2 linked regions of the Stegostoma tigrinum genome follow. The protein of the gene in region 2 interacts with the protein of the main gene of each other region in a pairwise test. Links are inferred from orthologs where the notes say so. Each region holds a gene or a part of one and is shown on either strand. Other genes may lie near its edges.

Region 1 (10,493 bases), on a different chromosome or scaffold from region 2:
AACACACACCCCAGGAAACAGAAGAAAAACAAACAATTTCATGTAATTTAATGCAGAGAATATAGCTAGCTGTTAAACATTCCCCAATTTTCACAAGATCCATTCTCTTTAATCAGTGCCCAATACAGTTACAGCAAACTTCAGTTCTCACAGGGCACAAATATTTGAAGTGGTATTTTCACACATGACTTGAGATATAAATTTGACACAAATCATGCAAGAACCAGAAGACTTCCTGCCCTAGACAACATGATTACTTCAATAGATGTAAGATCACTATACAGTTACAACATTAAAATAGTCTCCTGATTACTGCACTGACTAGGTGTTTACAATTAGAAATGAATTCACTCTAGCTGAAAGCCTATGTTGGTCTGCAACACAGCATAAACTCATCACATCACCAACGTTTAATGTGACATTGAAAATTAATGACATTCCCACAGTCCCAGGAATGCAAGACAGTGTACTGGCTTTTAAATCTTGCACTGGATCTCTAGTTCACCTTTGTATAAAGCCTTGCCCCTTCTATGTTTATATTTATGCTCTAGCTTTGATCATTTATCTACTTTAAACTCTGAAGGCACAAACTTGCACTGAAGCTTGGTAAAGTGCCAAGCAAAGTCACCACACATGAAACTTCTGAAAAATAAAACCGCAAATATTTATTCTTACACTGTATTATTCATTCTTCCTGCATGATAGCTACTACACATTTCTTCAGACACCACACAAATTCCCACTCTGTGTTTCTAGGCACTTCTAGAATCACATATTAAGTTAAAAGATATATCTTTACCCAAACTTAATACCCACACCTGCTGCACAGAATATACCTGTCAACTCACTGAAGCGTCTGCAAATTAATGCAATCTAAAGCAATAACCAAGGACAGAACAGATTCTCATTTAACGTGGAGTTCCTGCAGTTTCTGTTTAAAACAATTTCTAGCTAACATTTTAACTCAAATCCTAATTACCAGTCTCCAGAAAGGTTTACATTTCTCTATCACATTGTAAAACCCAATATATCCCAAAGAGATTCACTGCTAACGTGCATATCAACTCCACAAACAGCAATAATGATATAGTGCTGGTTGACGGTTTGTGACATTAATGGAAGGTTACATATTAGCATTTGGTACAACACCCCTGATCTTCAAAACAGTCAAAAATCACAGATTATAGTTTATATAGGTGTTGTATGATTTTTATCTTATGCACCCAGTCCAAAACCAGCACCTCCACATCATGGCTACCATTGAAACCTTAAAAATAGTCAAACTAGCATCTACCCGAGGGACCAGAAGAAGCCTCAGTTTACCACCTCCTAAAGACAATGACTCCAGTACTGTTCAATACTATACTATAGCAGTAGACTATTTCAATGTCTCAGTCCTGGAGAGGGATTTGAACTCAACCCAAGTAGCGGCAGACACTAAAGCAACAACTAAATCCTTCCGATTAGCCAATAAACACAGTTAAATAAAAACACTGTCAACAGAAACCTCATACAATTAAAATTCATTTAAAAAAAAACAAACAATTTTAGATTATATGAAATACACTGGGGAGGCAGTGACCTAGAGGTATTATCGCTAGACTGTTAATCCAGAGACCTAGATTACGTTCTGGGGATCCAGATTCAAATCCTGCCACGGCAGATTGTGGAATTTGAATTCAATAAATGTCTGGAATTACAGAATCCATTGTCAATTGTCATAAAAACCCATTTGGTTCACTAATGCCCTTACGGGAAACAAAGTGCCATTCTTACCTGGTCTGGACTACGTGACTCCAGAACCACAGCAATGTGGCCAACTCTGAACCGCCCGCTGGGCATTGAGGGATGGGCAATAAATACACCCGAGCCTTCAATGCCCTCATCCCATAATTTATGGTATACCTTTGGACTTAGTTCGTTTGTTAAGATAGAATATACCACAAATAACCGCAGTAAGTGTCATATAACTCAAAACATTGACTCCGTTTTCTCTCCACAAATGCTGTCAGACATGCTGTGTTTTGCCAGCAATGTATTTTTGTTTGTTTCAAACCTCAAAGCATTACAGCACTGGTTAAGAAGTAGTCATCTATACCACAATCATGAGTTTTATATTCTCAAACGATAATGTCCCAAGTCCACACGACATGTCTAGACTGCAAGACACAGCATTTACCCAACCATGTCAGCCCTGGCTCTATGAATGAGAATTGCACTGTGCCATCTCCTTGCAACCCTGCTCACTGCTTCAAGAAACAGGAAATGACATCACCAACACAGGAAATGACATCACCAACCCAAGGAAACCTAAACAGATAAATAGAAAGCAGGACGTAACACAGCGTTTCGGAGGCTCACTGATGATGGTACCTAGAATGGTGACGAAACGTCTGAAAACCACCCTTCCAGCTCAGCGAGCAAACCCACATCCAGAACCTCAACCTGAGCTACAAATCTTCTCAAAACTCACTGTTTCAAATAAATAACTCACATTTAAATGCCTCAATTGAACGTGCCTACAACACAGGCAGAGTATTCCATATCCAAAACATTTTCTACTTGGAAAGGTTTTTCTCGTTGCTTTTCAAAAGAAAATGTAAATCTATGCCTTCTCAGTCTTGATCCTATGCCGAACATGATGACAAATAAAACTAATCCCTTCTGCCTGCCCTTGTTGCATATCCCTCCATTCGTCACATGGTCATACACCTACCTAGAAGTCTCCTAAATGGCCTCAACATGTCTGCCTTCAACACCACTCCAGGCAGTGCATTCGAGACTGCTACCACTGTGTAAAAAAAAACTGCCCCTCACATGTCCTTTGAACATTCCCCCGTACCCTTAAATACAGGCCTCTAGCATTAGACATTGTAACTCTGGAAAACACGATTCTGAACATCAACCTTATCCACGAAATCAATTTTACAGACTTCTATCAAGTATCCCCTCAGCCTCTGCTGCTCCAGAGAAAACCACCCGAATTTTTCTACTTTTTCCTTACAGCTCATATCCTCCAATCCAGGTAACATCCCTGTAAACCTCTGCTGCACCCTCTGCAAAGCCATCACATCCTTGCCATAATGTGGCGATCAGAACTGAACACAATGCTCTTAAGCATGTCAATGATTTGGAGGGGTCCAACAGATGTTCTCTCAATCTTCTTTCCTTTACGATAAACAGCCTTAATTTCTTCAATACATTTACACGCAGAAAGTCCTGTTGTTTGAGACCATTCTCATTACTCTTTTCTGCACCCTTGGCAGTACCTTTGCATGCCTTCTAAAGTGCAGAACTAGACAATTCTCCAGCCAGGAAGACAAACATGTGCCCCATGCTGGTTCAACATCTACTTCTTGCTCCTCAACTATATGCCCCTGCAAAAAAAACCTAGGATACCATTATGACTTATTAGCCAAGCTCTCAACTTGTCTGCAACATTTAAGGTCCTCTGCAAGTATACACGCAGGTCTCTCTGCTCCTGAAACACCGTAAGGTGACTGCCCTTCATTTTACAGTGCACTCCATGGCCTTCCAACAAAAACTCTTCGCATTTCTCCTCACTGAACCACTTGTCTACATCCTTTAGAAGTTCTACATCACGTTCCCCAAATTACACTGCTTTAAAATTTCTTTTCGCCTGCAGATTCTGTCATTTGCACCAATGTCTACATCATTAATTAGTAATCTAGAAAAGCAAGAATAGTCCGGAGATTGAGGATCGGGAACTAGCAGTAGGGATTGGGGGGGGGGACGACGACGAACAGCACGAATCGGGGTGATTTCGGGATCGGTTTCGAACCCCCACCCCTCCCCCACGCTCCGCCCTTTGTTCTCCACGGGGCCGAGGCGACGAAGTACAGGCCCGGAGGCCATCGCAGACCTGAACCTAAAGCTCCAAATCCCGCCCACACAGCACTGGCAGAGCCCTACTCTTTACCTGCAGCCAGTAACCTGCTTGCATGGACGAAGGACGGGTCCAGACTGTCCTTCTCCGCCATAAGTTCGGGCAGATATTTCTCATTCGCCATGGCCGTTCACTCCGCTTCCTCGCACACCGACAATGCGCCTGCGCAGCAACTGCCGACTGCCTGATGGTGAGTCCCACCCCTGAGCTCCCATTGGCCACATAGCTGTCCATCGGAGGCATTCTCCATACCTACGCGCTTAGGTAACTGTCAATCATATATTATCCCACCCATATCGATGACACCGTCTCCCGCTCTTATTTCCCGCTAGCTCGATGGCTGGCTGACCTGCCAATCATAGAGCTTCCCCGCCAACTGGTATCAACAGGAATGCCAAACAACCTACTGGAGGCCACCCTGTTCCGCCCCCCTCTCCGACCGTTGTAGGGGGGAGAGTAGGTTCAGAAAACGGGGGGAATAGAAGGAGAGGGTTGGGCGAGGATACAGTGGAGGATACAGACGGACCAGCTGGAGGATAGAGATCTCAGTGGGGGAACCAAGACGCGGGATCATGGAGTAGATAGACCACGTAGGGGCACACGTGAAAGGGCGGCTGGTGTGAAGGACAGAGATCATCCGGGAGGTGGGTGGTGGAGGACAGGTACCATGGGAGTCATGATTGTGGAGGAGGATGACCATGTTGGCGGCGGCGGCCGGGGGAGGGTCTGCTGCGATGGTGAGGGTCGTGGAAGGAAGGGGACCCTGGACAGGTGTCAAGGAGGAGGAGAGGCGTGTGGAAAAGAGGGACCGTACACAGGGGGTGGGAAATGGAGAGGGGAGAGAGCACAGAAAGTTTGGGAGAGGAGAGAGACCATTGGGAGAATGTGGAGAAGACGGGTCGGGGGGGGGGGGGGGGGGCGGCGTGCGCAAGGAGTAGTGAGACTGCCTGGGGTGGGTGTGGAGGAGAGGGTGTGCACCCGAGAGGTGAGCGTGGAGAAGAGGGGAACAGAGGACAGCGAGTGCAGGGATGGGAGGATGTGCAGAAGAGAGAGAGAGAGAGAGATCATGGTGGAAAAATAGATTAGGGTGGAGAGAAATACGGGGGTGAGGAGAGAAGAAGGATGGGCTTTGGGGGATGGGAAGATTGAGAGAGAATGGGGGGGGGGGGGGGGAGAGAAACCAGGATGAGAAAAAGGACAAAACTGAGGAAGTTTGAAGGACAGCGAGATGGAAAGATAGAAAGAGAGGGAGAGGCAGAGAGATGGAGAGAAATTTTAGGAAAATGAGTGAACTGGTGGAAGAGAGTGAGGGAGCGAGAGCCAGGGATAAGATAATTCCATGATGCTGGCATTCCATCTCCAAGTCACCTTTTAATTACACATGCACGTTACCTAACTCTGGTTAGCACTGCAGCCTCACAGTGCCAGGGACGTGGGTTCAATTCCAGCCTCGGGTGACTGTCTGTATGGAGTTTGCACATTCTCCCCGTGTCTGCGTGGGTTTTCTCCGGGTGCTCCGGTTTCCTTCCACAGTCCAAAGATGTGCAGGCTAGGTGGATCAGCCATGCAAAATTGTCCGTAGTGTTCAGGGTTGTGGGGGATGGGGATGGGTCTTGGTGGGATGCTTCAAGGGGCGGTATGGACTTTTTGGGCCGAAGGGCTTGCTTCTGCACTGTAAGAAATCTAATCTAAAAAAAACACTGACTCAGTTAGTTCAGTGCTGGCTCTTAAAATGAGCAGAAACCCTGACGCTTCTATTTATGTCTGTCAGCCAGGACTCCCTGATTGAACCTGGTTAGCAGCCCTAATCAGCAAACACATATTCAATTAGATCCACTTGGCTGACCTACTTCCAGCCACTACACCCATCTCCCCCCTCCCACTTCCCTAGGTGCTGGGACTTAGGCCCGTTCTTTTTCCTGCAGCTTTGCTTGTGGAATTTTTGCTCCAGGCCCGGTTCTCTGACTCTGCCTTAGATACTGGCAAGGTATACCAGGCCATAGCTCACCTCTTGGGTCCGAGCGTCTCAGCCAAAACTCATCTCCCTGCCCCCAGTCAGATGTAAACTGGTGCAGAGTCTTCACCCCATAAGCAACTCTGCTGGAGCTGTCCCTTTATTTACATGAGTGGTGGTCCTATAATCAAACAGGAACAGGACAGTTTGGCATAAAGTAGGCTGCTTCTTTAAGCCTGTCTTCGAGGTTTGGACTGCTCTTTTCACGAGAGCATTGGATAATAGGTGACTTGGAGCTTTCCTTACATGCCGAGTGCCATTCACCTTTAGAAAATATTTAAATTCTCTGCTGGTAAATAATGGCCTGTTATCTGTGACCAACACCTCCTGGAGCCCATGTATTGCAAAAGATACTTTTAACTTTTCAGTCATCGTCCCAGTGTTTGATGAATGAACTCTATGCATGTCCAACCACTTTGAATAGGCATCCACAATCACTAAAAGCAGAGGGTTATGAAAGGACCAGCATAGTCGACATGTAACGGAGTTCATTGTTTACATGGCCATTCCCATAAATGTGATGGAGTTGCTGGCAGTAATTTTTATCCTTCTTGGCATTCTGAGCATTGCCGGACCATTGTAGCTACGTCTGCATCCAATCCTGGCCACTTGACATAACATCTCGCCAACATCTTAATTTTGGAAACTCCAGGCTAACACAGGTGGATCTCAGCCAATATCTGGCAGCAATTTCTGCTCAGAACAATGCGGCCTTGTGTGGTCCAGAAGGTTTCAGTTCTGGTTATATTGGCCCTTTTGTTTCCCCCATCGCTACCAGCTGTTTTAGTTTTGCTAGGATGGGATCTTTTCGTGCTCATAGTTGGATATTGTCAGCAGTAACCTGAAGGGTGTCCAGAAAGTTTAAAACCAGAACAGTCTGTTGTAGTGGCACCATCATTGGTGGTGTACCTGCCAATAGGAGGTGGTTGAAGGCATCCGCATTTGCTACTTGTCCTCCTAGATGGTGTTCCAACTTATAATTATGTGTACATAGAATAGAGCCCACCACTGAATTCAACCTGAAGCCTTGTCCTCTTTGAGTAGCTGTATACTGTTATTATTACAAATTTACATTCATAAAAATATTGGTGGAACTTCCTCACATCAAAGGTGACCGCCAAGCCTGCCTTCTCTATCTGGGCGTATTTGCGCTCTGCATCAGCCAGACTTCAGGAAGTATATGCTGTTGAGCTTTCCTCTCAATTAGGCCATCTGTGAGCCAACACCACCCCGTTACTCTTTGGGGAGATACCATATGTCAGCACCATATCTTGCTTGGGATTGTAGTTGCCAACACCTTAGATGACCATAGCTGTTTTTTCACTTCTTTAAAGGCTACATCTTGACTCTGAGACCATTTCCAAGGCTGACCCCTTTTCAACAGCAGGTGTCAGGGTGCCAGGATGGAGGCCAGGTTGCACATGAATATTCCGTCATAATTCACCAACACAAGGAAAGCTCTGGTACAGACATGTGAGCCAGGGCACCTTTGATCGCCTTCACTGTATCTTACAACAGGTAACCTGATCTTGTCGACTCTGTAGCCCAAGTAGAACACTTGGGTGTGTGGAATATCCATTTTTTCCTCCTAAGGAGTATCTCTGCCTTGGAGAAACAGTCAAACACTAGGCCTTTATTGGTTTTCCCAGTTATTAACATGTCATCCAGATAATTGATGACCTGGAATTCTTAATGGGTTTGACAGGTTAAATGTTAGGAGGATGTTCCCCTTGTGGGAGAGCCTACGACAAGAGGACACAGTCTCAGAATATATGAGCCTCAATATAAGACTGAGATGAGGAGGATTTCTTCTGTCACGTTCTAAAACAAGCGCTGTTCAACTGGAACTCAGTTACAAACTAAAATTGAAGAAGAATAATAGAAAAATAAGATGGTCTCAACAATATGCTGGTCACTGTTATCCATTAGAAGCCCATTAACTCGCAGTTACCTTCGCCAAACACACCCTCACCTTCTGTAAGGACTCTGTTTCATTCTCCCAGTTTCTCCATATGTTGCATCTGGTCTGATGCCACCTTCCGCAGGGTGGAGAGGCCTTCAGATGTCCAATATTTTCCTCAACCAAGGATTCCCTGCCACCATGGTCAACAGAACCCTCAACCATGTCTAATCTATTTCTCTGCTTCTTCCCTAACCACTTCCCACGCACAACTGTTTCATAGAATCCCTACAGTGTGGAAACAGGCCCTTTGGCCCAACAAGTCCACATCAAGCCTCAGAGCATCTCACCAAGACCTATCTCCCCATAACCTACCCAATCTGCACATCCCTGAACACTGTGGGCAATTTAGCATGGCCAATCCACCCAGCCTGCACACTTTGGGCTGTTGGAGGAAACCCACGCAGACACGGGGAGAATGTGCAAGCTCCACACAGACAGTCGCCCAAGGATGGTATCAAATCCGGGCCCCTGGTGCTGTGAGGCAGCAGTGCTAATCACTGAGCCGCCTATGTTTGGGTGTGTCCCTAAATCCTTTGGAGATTGTAATCCCAAGGAGCCGTTTTACTGGAGCAAAGCCTGGCCGTGTGTCAAGGCAGAATTTTTCCTGCCAAAATACACTTATCTCTTAATGAACTATTCATGAACAACCGATGTGAGATTGTTCTGTCACGGATGATTGTACAACCAAAAGCAAAGGCTTTGCAGCAACCATTGTCATGGGTTTGGATTTATAATTTATAGGTAGTTTATTTACTAATAGGAGCAATACACAGTACAGGCTTTTTGTAAAATAAGCAATAGATTAACTAAGATGGAGATGTTTAGAAAACAGCAACCCTTCAAAAAGTCACAGCTTGAGAGTACTTCAGGAATTAGAGCAACAGTATTTTTAAATGAAATATTAAAATGTAGAAACATAGAAAACAGGAGCAAGGGTGAGCCATTCAGCCCTTCAAATCTGCTCCACCATTCGATATGATCACAGTTGATCATCCACCTTAAGACAGCAGGAGAACACTGATGTTTATTGGTTTATTGATATTATAGTAAGGTATGAAAATGAGGAGTTGTCAATCATGAACGTTTTCTCCGCACGTGATCAGGCTGAAAATTGGAAGTCTAAGAGGCTGGGAGACATGGCTTCACCTACATACCATAGTAACTCTACACAAAACTCCCATTTGTTTCAGAAAAGCTGCCTGTTCGCCACACTGGCAGCGGGCAGGGTGGGTGTTGGGATATACCGAGAATAGGAATTTGGCACACAGATAGCTACTGTGGGAAATGGAAGGCCCTTTGTTCTGGATAATGAGAGTCTGCAATCTGCAAATAGATATTATGGACTGCCACTCTGCTGCTTTGCTCTTGCACACTCAATGTTGCGATCAACAGAAAGGAATTTTTCAATGCTCATGCAGCAAACTTTGATAAGTTTCCGATGGGTGCAAGCCTGCTTTGAATCCTGTTGCCTTGGTAACTGATCCTCTTTCCTTTTTTGGTTTCCATTTGCAACCGGTAGCTGCTGACACCAGCTATCCCTCAGAACCACTCTTCATCTTCCATTGGTTTGGTTGGGACTGGCTTGTCACCTTGCCTCCTTAGACCAGCTCCTTCAGATGTGCCCACCCTTTGGCTCTACCTAAGCCCTGTGCTCTGTCTCTCTGTGGCAATATTATTCTGCTGCTGTAAGCCATTGTTTACCTCTGCTAAACAGCTCAACCACTGATGGCTCATGATCCACTTGGCACAAGGTTCCACTCCATCCCCTCACAGGTCCCCACAGGCTTTTACTTCGGGTTGTCTTGTCACTTTTCACTATTAATGTTCTGTGTCCTATCCCTGCTCACTGACTCTGCTTGTATCAGCTGTGACTCCATGGGTAGCACTGTCATCCCTGAATCACAAGTTTCCAGGTTCAAATCCAACTCAAGGGTTTAAGCTCAGAAATCATTGCTACTGTTCCAATGCGCAACTGAGAGTGCTGTCTTTCTGTTGTGACATTAAACATTAATCCTCTCAGGTGGATATTAAAAATCCCATTGTGTTCCTTCAAAGTAGAGTGGTGTTTAGGGTAATGATCCATTGTGATAAGCCCAAGTAGGGACAATGTTTTCCTTTCTGAGAGGACTTTAGTGAGCCAGATGGGCTTTTCCTGACAATTGGCAAAGGTTTCATGATTATCATTAGACTCTTAATTTTAGTATTTTTTTATTGAATTCAAATTACATCATCTGCCATGGCAGGATTTGCACCCAAATCCTTAGAACATTACCTGGGTTCTCTGCATTAAAGGTCTACTGGTAGTGCCATTGGACCGTTGACTTCCCATAATCTTCCAACGGGGGAGTCAGAGGTAATTGGGCATGGATTGGATTGTGAAATTCAAAACGGATAGATCAGGCAGGATTTTATTGTATGATGGAATAATCCCATGGGGTCAAAGGCATATTTTTGCTCCTTATTTATATATTTGTATGGCTATATTTATTTAGTTATTTGCCAGAGACTTGGTATGGTACGGTGTTTAAACGCCAAAGGTAATGTAATTTTCAGCAGCCATTTTAAAACCTTGTTTGTGTCTAATTTTTCAAAGAATTGACTGAAAATTC
Region 2 (10,609 bases):
ATTGTTTTTTGTCAAATCTTAAATCATAGGTAACTTGACCCCTTGCATGAGCATAGCAAGGATGAATTACCACAACTTCAGGCGGTTACATGGAGCCCAGGTGCTGTATATAATCAGGGCATTTGTAGATGACACAAAAGGTAATCCTCTGGTAAATAGTGAAGAGGAAAGCCTTAGACCACAGGACAATATAGATGGGCTGAACAGTTGTGAATGAAATTTAATACTGAAAACTTTGAGATGATGCTTTTGGGAGGAACAACAAGGCAAGGGATGCAGGTTGAATGTAGAATCGTAGGAAGTACAGAGGATCAGAAGGACCTTGGTATGCATGTCCCTAAATCCTTGATGGCAGCAGGTAGATAGATAAGGTGGTGTAGGGGGAAAGTGGGACACTTGCCTTTATTAGTCAAGGCATTGTACATAAAAGCAAGGAGGTTATGTCAATTCAGAGATAGTAGAAACTGCTGATGCTGGAGAATCTGAGATAACCAGGTGTAGAGCTGGATGAACACAGCAGGCCAAGCAGCATCAGAGGAGCAGGAAAGCTGACGTTTCAGGTCTGGACCCATTTCTGAAGAAGCTCCTCTGATGCTGCTGGGCCTGCTGTATTCATCCAGCTCTACACCTTGTTTTCTGAGGTTATGTCAAAGCTGTTTATAATGTTAGTTGAGCCATGGCTGGAGTACAATGTGCAGTTATGATGACCATTCTAGAGGATAATTACACAATAGAGACATAAAAGAAATTCAGCAGGATGTTGTCTGGGGTGGAGTGAAAAGGCTGAGGTGAGATCTGATTGAGTTCTGAGAGGCAAAGACATCATAGATAGGGATAAACTTTTCCTCTCATTGGAGGGGTAAATAATTAGGGCCACAGATTTAAGATAGGAAACAGAAGGTTTAGAGCGGTTTTGAAGAAAATTTTTTTCATCTAGAGGATTTTGGGTGTCTGGAACTCTCTGCTTGAAAGAATGGTAGAGGCTGAAACCCTCAGAATATTTAAGTAGTTTTTAGATGAACCCCACTTGAAACACCATAGCAGACAAGACCAAGTGCTGTAAAATGGGATTAGAATATATGAATGTTTAATGACCAGCTGTACACACTTTCCAAGCTGTAAAGATTCTATGACACATATGTTGAACTAGGATTAGAAAGGCAACTTACTATCAAAATTAAGAGAAACTTCAGAGTGCTTTTGTGCAGAGATATCTGTTGCAGAAAACAATATGCAGGTACAGCAAGTAATAAGGAAGGCAAGTAGAATTTTGCCATGTATTGCTAAAGGCAAAGAGTATAATAATAGAGAACTGTTGCTACATTACAAGACATTAGTCAGACTGCACCTGGAGTATTGTGTGCAATTTGGTCCTCTTTCTTGAGGGGAGATGTGATTGTATTAGAGACAGTTCAATGGAAGTTCGTTGGATTGATTCCACAGAAGAAAGTCTTAGGAAGAGAGATTGAGCAGTTTAGGCCTAAATTATCCAGAGTTTTAAAAAAATAACAGGTAGTCTAATTCAGATATATAAGATATTAAAGGGGATTTACAAAATAGACACAGAAAGGATGTTTCCTCATGGCATAATTTAGAATGAGAGGTCATAATTTTAGTATAATGAATAACAGATTTAACACAGAAATGAGGAGACATTACTTTTCCCAAAGGACCATGAATCTGTGGAATTCACTATCCCAGAATTAGATTGATGCTGTAACATTCAACAAATTTAAAGAGGATGTAAACAGATTTTTATTTAGTTATGGGTTGAAGTGTTCTGGAGAGCAGGCCGCAAAGTGAAGTTGAGGCTGAAATAAAATCAGCCATGATTGTATCAAATCCTTGCCTACTCCTGCTTCTAGTTCTTATGTGCTCATGTTCTGGCAACGTCAACCTTAACAGTGTGACGTGAATTGCACTGCACTGCACTAGGCAATCTTGTAGTCGGTTGGCTCACTGAACTGGTTTGTTGTTTCGTAGACGTTTCATTACCCTGCTGGGTAATATCATCAGTGCAGCATCCAATGAAGCGCCCTTGTGTTTCCCCCCCTGTTATGTGAACTGTGGAGTTCATTAAGCTGGATTACGAAATGTCTGCGAAACAACGAACCAACTCGGTGAGCCAACCAACTACATCCACAACCCAAGCTCCAAATCTACTTGAAAACGTAGCAATCTTGTTGAATTCCATGTTAAATATTAGAGCTGCCCACTGCTTCTTACATTTTACCTTGCTTCAGATTACTAAATCATGTTTAAACCTTTTCCAAGTAGACATTAAAGCAAGTATTGACTGCAGTTTATGGTGTAAAAGTGAACTGTGGTTGCTCAGTATACAATGCATATTTGTATGATTTGAACTGTTAATTTGGGAAATGGGTCTTTTTTTGAATTGCAGATGGTTGGTTTCATTGTGTAGTATTATCATTGAATCCCCACTTTTCCCATGACAACTTATTGTCCTTTTTCAGATGGGCTCAACTTTGTGCATCTATCTCTACATGTTTAATGAGATGGCCTGAAGAGGTTAGCTAACTTAAGTAACAAATTGTATGAAAGTATTGTTGCAATATGTATTAATTTTGTAGTCTTGCCAGATGTACAGATGCATCTGACCTACTAAAGTTTTTGCTGCTGTTTTGTTTTGCTTTGCTTCTGATACTCCCTTCCCTGAACTTCTGTAATTTTTCACACTGACTTTGTAATGTTGCTGCTGGCCAGTGTCCTCCCTTTCGGAGTACTGCCCTCTTCTGATGTGTTTTAATCTCTATACATGCTGCTTTAGTCTCTGCACTTTTTTAAAAATACTTTTTCAAAACTTGTTTACTCAATGCTAACTCAGTTTGTGACTTATTTTTCATTGATACACAGTTCTTTCTTTGACTTGCTAATTCTCACTTTGCACACTTCTTTATTTGACACACTCAATTTACTTGGAGGAGCATATTTTCTTTAGCATTGCAGTCTCGCTGTGAACTGATCTTAGCATTCAGAGTCACAGAGATGTATGGCATGGAAAGAGACCCTTCGGTTCAAATCATTCATGCTGATCAGATATCCCAAATTAATCAAGTCTCGTATATTGTAACAGCCTCTGTCACTTCTTATGACAGCTCATACCATCACACATACCACCCTTTGTGTGAAAAAGTTGCACTTCAGGTCCCTTTTATGCCTTTTGCCTCTCAACATAAATCTGTGCCCTCTAGATTTGGACTCCCTAACCTCGGAAAAGACCTTGGCTATGCACCCTATCCACGGCCTCATGATTTTATAAACGTCTTCAAGGTCACCCCTCAGCCTCCGACAGTCCAGGGAAAATAGCCCCAGCCTATTCAGCTCCTCCCTATAATTCAAACCCTCCAATCCCGGCAGTATCCTTGTAAGTCCTTTCTGCACCCATGCGAATTTAGCAACATCTTTCCTATAGCATGGGGACCAGAATTGAATGCAATTCTCCAAAAGTGGCTTAACCAATGTCCTGTAAATTTCTTTTTAAATGTTACTTTTTGTGCTGTGTCTTTTGTTTTCCTGCATTGCTGTCATTGGGCATTATTATTATTCACATCAGTTATGCATTGTCCAAGCAGCCAAATGCTTTTAGCCTATATTTGTTTAGACAGGCAGGTAGAACGATGAGAAAATTGTATAGGTAGTGTCTTATAGTCATACAGCACAGGAACAGACCCTTCAGTCCAACTTGTCTGCATCAACCAGATATTCCAATCTGACCCAGTCCCTTTGCCATCATTTGGCCCATTTCCCTCTACACCCTTCTTATTCATATAACTATCCAGATGCCTTTTAAATATTATCATTGTACCAGCCTTCACCACTTCCTCTGGCAGCGTGTTTCAAATGTTACCCCTCAGGTCCTTTTTAAATCTTTCTCCTCTCGCCTTAGACTTATGCCCTCTAGTTTTGGACTCCCCCATCTAGAAAAAAGACCTTGTCTATTCATCCTATCCATGCTGCTCATGATTTTATAAACTTGTATAAAGTCACTCCACAACCCAAGGAAACCTAACCAGATAAATAGAAAGCGGGACATAACACCAGCGCTTTGTCGGAGGCTCACTGATGATGTTACCTAGAATGGTGACGAAACGTCTGAAAACTAACCTTCCAGCTCAGCGAGCAAACTCACATCCAGAACCTCAACCTGAGCTACAAATCTTCTCAAAACTCGCTATCACTCCACAACCTCTGACACTCCAGGGATTTGGTATGCTTACCTTTATTGGTCAGTGCATTGAGTATTGGAATTGAGAGGTCATGTTGTGGCTCTACAGGACATTGGTTTGACCACTTTTGGAGTATTGCATGCAATTCTGGTCTCTCTCCTGTAGAAAGAATGTTGTGAAACTTGGAAGGGTTCAGAAAATGCGTACGAGGATATAGCTAGGGTCAGAGTGTTTGAGCTATAGGGAGAAGTTGAATAGGCTGGGGCTATTTTTCCTGGAATGTCAGAGACTGAAGGGTGACAATATAAAGGCTTATGAAATCATGAGGTAAGTAGATAGGGTAAATAGGCAAGGTCTTTTCCTGGGATTGGGGGATTCCAAAGCTAGACCTCTAGAGGGCAGAGGTATAAAGTCACGTAGGAAAGATATAAAAGGGTCCTAAGGGGCAGCCTTTTCATGCAGAGACTGGTGTGTGTATGGAATGAGCTGCCAGAGGAACTGGTGGAGGCTGGTATGATTACAATATTTAACAGACATCTGAATGGGTATATAAATAGGAAGTTTAGAGGATGTGAGCCACATGCTGGCAAATGGGATTAGATTTATATAGGATGTCTGGTCAACATGGACGATTCTAGTTCTGTGCTGTATATCTCTATGACAACATTCAACTTCTCCCCAGAGCTCAAACCCTCCAGTCCTACCAACATCCTGGTAAATCATTTTTGCATCCTCTCACGTTCAACAACATCCTTCCTATATTTCAGTGTTTTGTAGTGAGGTTACAGTGATAAGGGGTGAGGTCATGGAGGGATTTGAAAACAGGATGCAAATTTTAAAATTCAACTTTTGCAAAACTGGGGACCAGTGTAGGCTGACCAGCAATGGGCATTATTCTTGAGTGGAAGTTCATGCAAGACAGGACAGAGGCATTAATGTTTTGGAATATCTCAAGATTATGAATTGTAGGTGGGGAGGTGATGGTTTAGTGGTATTATTGCTCAACCGTCAACCCAGAGAGCTAGGTAACGTTCTGGGGACCTGGGTTTGAATCCCACCATAGCAGATGGTGGTATTAGAATTCAATTAAAAAAATCTAGAATGGAGAGTCTAACGATGACCACGAATCCATTTTCGATTGTTGGGGATAAAAAAAACTCATCTGATTCACTGACGTCCTTTAGAGAAGGGAAGTGCCGGCATGTGACACCAGACCCAAGGCGATGTGGTTGACTCTCAACAGCCCTCTGAGCAATTAGGGCTGGGCAATGAATGGGGCAATAAATGAATGCCAGAAAAACAGCATGAGAGGCCAGCCAGAAGTCTCTCTCCCTGTCTCCTCCCTCTGTTTTCTTTCTATCTCCACACGCCTATTCTCTGTATCTCCTCCCATTGCCCCCAACCTCTCGTTATCTCCTCCCCAGCCCCGTCTCTCTCTCTCTGTCCCGCCCACCCCCATCTGTTTGTCTGTATCTCCTTCCCCCTCCTCCTGTTTCTGTGCTGAGTTCTCTTCCTGTCTCTCTGGTTGTCAGCGCCATGTTACTGTTCTGACCGCGGATCAGCAACAAGTCTCCGGAGGAGGGCCGGACAGGAGCCTGCGGGAAGAGGTGAGTGAGACTGGGCACCGGCGCCGGGCCGGAGGGGAGGCTGTGCAGGGAGACCCCGGGGCCGGAGGCTGCCTGCCCGGACACTCCAGGCCTCAGTTTCCCCCTCCCCCGGACGGACCGGACCGTCACCGTCCGGCAGGTGTCGGGGACAGTGACCGTCCTCGGGCCCGACGAAACCACTCCGTATGGCGGATTCCAGCCTTGGATCGTTATCTGGGGCTGGGAATTAAAGGGCAACGACTGGGGCTTGGTTTGTGTATGAACAAGAAATGGTTATTGTTTGGGGTGTACGGGAATAAGTTCAGGCTTGTCATTTCAGTCTGTTTTCTGTTTTGACATTCACAAACGGGCAGCTTGGTCACTCAAGTTCACCGCAGAATCGGCGAGGCTGGTCGTTTTCCCAGGCTGGCCAGTGGCTCAGTATCTTAACCAGCTGGTCAATTTCCTTACAGTATTGTACCTTACCAGATTAGTGAGGACTTAGTACCATTTAAACACTGATCGTACATGTTGAAATGCTACAGTCAGCATACATGAATATTTCAAAATTTGGTATATTTGTATTGATTTTTAGAAAATATGAGCATTCCTGGGCAACATTGTTAGGAAAATGCAGACAGGTTTCTTGGTCACGGATCTTGTTCCATCAGAACAGGATAATTATGAGCCCTGAATTCAAGTCCCACGTGCTACAGAAGTGTGTAATAACATCTCTGAACAGGTTGATTAAAAATATCTACATCTGTGGCCACAAGGGGTCCTGTGGCATTTGACAGTGTCCTTACCTCTGGGACAGAAGGTTCAAGTCCTGCCTGTCCTGGGGGTTTGTCACAACATGTCTGAACAGGATGATTAGAAATAACTACACCTGTGTCCTCAAAGATGGGATCAGACTTGGCTGTGATGCATCACCTGTCCTTTAAGATGTCCCTCCATCCATCCATCTGCAAGGTTGGCATGTAGTATGTGGTCACTCATTTTCTGGCCTTACATGTGATGGAATATCCCCTCGTGTTTTGCTGGAGGTTCCACCACGTGATGAAACTGGCAGTTTTTTGTCATATTAGAAAAGTTCGGACATTTGAAGTCAAGTACCTTGGCTTCAACTATATAGTTTAAAAGTACCTTTTGTTATTAAATACCCATTTCTCACTGTTTATAGTGTAGGAATTTAGAATCCAAGATAGAGAATTCTTAAGAGTGGGAGTAACCGGTCATATATATTGTATTATTAAATTAACTAACCCTGTGAACTGCAAAATTTCTCCCCCTGCTATTTTGTGTGGATTTTCCCAAGTGAAAACATGGAAAAAGTGTCAAATGCTAAAAAAGGCATTGCTGAGCCTTTATTTCTATTTTGAAGTAGCTTACAGTAAGGCTGCCAGCAGCAGTTTTTCTGTGAACAATCACGATATGGAATCAATACAAATTGTGTTTTGTGACGTAGACAATACCTGCCCAGTGGAGGAAGTCTTGTGACATCATGAATTGAAATTTTATTTTCAGTGGCTTAACATCCTGTTTCAAATCCTGAATCTGGCTGAGTTTGTAATATCAGATATTTCCCTATAACCATGATAACCTGAAAGAATGATCGCCATTGTTCAGTAAATTATATAGAGTTCTCTGTGACGGTGTAGAATTGACTTAATCCACTCAACTGTCGTGGCAGTAGGTTAGTTGGAGCTGTCTATGGCTGTTGAATCGTTGTGGGAGGGGCAGGGTTGGAATGCTGGTAAGTTTTCAAGTGCTACTGATTTGGATATTTTGAGTTGTTAAAGTACCAATTAATTGACTCGAATGAGATTTGTAATGTACTAATGAAATTAGGCCTGTAGGTGTCTGAAACTGTAAGTCTAAAGTTGAGCTTGTTTTCTTAAAAATCATGTAAAATCTGAAAATTAGCCTTTTAAAGTGACTTCAAAGCTATTATTTTTCAATAATAATAACATAGCACAAATTGCAATATAAAACTCGTGGATAGAGTAATGATTGGTATTGGCAGAACACAAGATAATTTTGGCTGGATGGCTGATTTGCGATGCACTGTGATGCCAACAGCATTGGTTCAGCTCCCACACTGGCTGACGTTACCGTGAGCAATTCTGCTTCTCGACCTCTCCCTTCATCTGAGACATGCTGACCCTCTGGTTAAATCACCACCAGTCGTCTCTCCCTACTGAGATAATCCTATTGCCTGGTAGGACGACAGCAACTTTATGTTTGCTTGATTTAGACATTGGCAGGAATAATGGAATGTGTACACTAAAACAATGTCAACTGCTCAATCTTCCACAATTTTCCTTTGGTCAAGTAAAGTCAACCAAAACTACTTCACTGTCTACCATTCGATTCTTCATTACATGACTGAGCACTTTGCCAGTGTTTTGAAATTGTACGAAAAAAATTCACTATTTAAGTTGAGATAATCTGCTTAAATTCTTGTTTGAGGTTCTCGAAGATAAGGTTTGATTTTACTTCATGAATGTTGATCTTTGCAGATTCAATTTTACTGTCCTCATAATAGGCTCATGACACTTATTTATGCATTAAAATTCACTTTTGTTTCATTCATATCTCTCTTCTAGCTCTCGATTCAATCCCGCTTTCACCTGAATTCCCTGTACTGGATTCTGTATTGAATCCTATTTTTACTTATTTCCTTTTCAGCTTTTATGCTAAGTTCTCAGTTGTTCAATTTGATTGATTAATGAGCTACCCATCTGCTGGCTCTGTTCACCTACATCTGAGGTGGTCTGCTTGCTTCACTATGCTGTTATCACCTTACTTATTCAATATTATATAAAGAAAGGTGTAAAGTTAGACTAATATCAGGTGTCATTGGGTGTTCGGGTACTAGAAGATTTGTTCCATACTACCATATGTATGACGAAAGGATTTGCATAATTGGTCTTACAAGGATTATTTTTGGAAAGATATGCTGTGATATTCATTAGAATTTGTATGCTACACCAATTCCATGTCTTTCACTGTTCCATTGTCTGTTACAACTTTTCAAAAAAGTTAATGTTCCGGGATAGTACGGTTGGTGTCTCAAATATGTTTGCCTCGGTTCTATATGGCAATATATTTTGTTATAATGTCCATCTGTCATGCAACAGATATTGTGTGTCAGATTCCATACTTTATTACAAGTAATACACCTTTAAGACAAACAAAATAAGCTGTTGACCTGAAAATTTGTTCATGCTCAGAGATAATGGGAACTGCAGATGCTGGAAAATCCAAGATAACAAAGTGTGGGGCTGGATGAACACAGCAGGCCAAGCCTCATCTTAGGAGCACAAAAGCTGACGTTTTTGTGTCCTAGTCCTCACATACCACCCTACCAACCTCCGGATACAACACATCATCCTTCGACACTTCCGCCATCTACAATCCGACCCCACCACTAAAGACGTTTCTCCCACCCCACCCTTGTCTGCCTTCCGGAGAGACCACTCTCTCCGCGACTCCCTTGTCCGCTCCACACTCCCCTCCAACCCCACCACACCCGGCACTTTCCCCTGCAACCGCAGGAAGTGCTACACTTGCCCCCACACCACCCACCTCACCCCATCCCAGGCCCCAAGATTACTTTCCACATCAAGCAGATTTTCACCATGCTCATCTGCCAATGTGGTATACTGCATCCACTGTACATGGTGTGGCTACCTCTACATTGGGGAAACCAAACGTAGCCTTATGGACTGCTTTGCAGAACACCTACGCTCGGTTCGCAGTAAACCACTGCACCTCCCAGTTGCGAACCATTTCAACTCCCCCTCCCATTCCTTAGATGACATGACCATCCTGGGCCTCCTGCAGTGCCACAATGATGCCACCCAAGGTTGCAGGAACAGCAACTCATATTCCACTTGGAACCCTGCAGCCCAATGGTATCAATGTGGATTTCACCAGCTTCAAAATCTCCCCCCACTGCATCACAAAACCAGCCCAGCTCATCCCCGCCTCCCTATCCTGTCGTTCCTCTCACCTATCCCCTCCTCCCACCACAAGCCTCCCCTCCGTTTCCTACCTACTAACCTCATCCCCCCCCCCTTGACCTGTCCGTCCTCCCCAGACTGACCTATCCCCTCCCTGCCTCCCTACCCGTACTCTCCTCTATTCATCTTCAGTCCATCTCCCCCCTCTCCTTATTTATTTCAGAAACCTCTCCCCATCCCCCTTTTTCTGATGAAGGGTCTAGGCCCGAAATGTCAGCTTTTGTGCTCCTGACATGCTGCTTGTGTTCATCCAGCCCCACACTTTGTTAATTTGTTCATGTTCGTCAGGTTAACTTCATTGCTTTCTAAGTAGATTTAATAGTTTGCTCTTGATATGCAAATCGAAATGTCTATAAAAGCCAAGGTCAAATTAACAGCTAAACATGAAATATTGGAGTGTGAAATATGACTCATTTTACCTATGAATATTGCCACTGGAGATCTGTTATTAAAAATGTATGCTTTGAGAAACTTGTAACACAGTTCAGGAGTCATGCATGCAAATTTCTGTCATACGTTTTAGAAATTATAAAAGAAGAAAGTAATCAGTTGGTGATGATTTTGAGGAAATGTTACCTGCAAAAGAGAATACTGCAGTTGACTTCAAGATGTGCTATAGTGTTTTATCCTCTAATTGAAGGATGTGCTTATTTATGACAGTAAGACCTTATTGCCCAAGGGGGCAACTGGTATTGAGCACATCTATCCTGTAACAATATAACAATACACTTTGTGTAATGCTTCTGCTCCATCTCTCAGAATTTTGACAAAAAGCTGTTTAGTCGCTTTCGTCCCCACCCATACCATA

Evidence for each region. The genes of interacting proteins can lie anywhere in the genome.
Region 1: the proteins of intersectin-2-like (region 2) and KH domain-containing, RNA-binding, signal transduction-associated protein 1-like interact in a two-hybrid assay, tested with the Homo sapiens proteins (2 studies listed by BioGRID and IntAct, with this or other methods). The link is inferred for Stegostoma tigrinum from reciprocal best matches to the Homo sapiens genes ITSN2 and KHDRBS1.

The regions. Positions count from the first base shown.
Region 1 is NC_081377.1:836,732-847,224, reverse strand, and holds the start of KH domain-containing, RNA-binding, signal transduction-associated protein 1-like, read right to left. Parts: upstream 4,076-10,493; 5' UTR 4,032-4,075; coding exon 3,941-4,031; intron 1-3,940. UniProt on the Homo sapiens protein: Recruited and tyrosine phosphorylated by several receptor systems, for example the T-cell, leptin and insulin receptors. Once phosphorylated, functions as an adapter protein in signal transduction cascades by binding to SH2 and SH3 domain-containing proteins.
Region 2 is NC_081357.1:74,090,179-74,100,787, forward strand, and holds the start of intersectin-2-like, read left to right. Parts: upstream 1-5,639; 5' UTR 5,640-5,794; intron 5,795-10,609.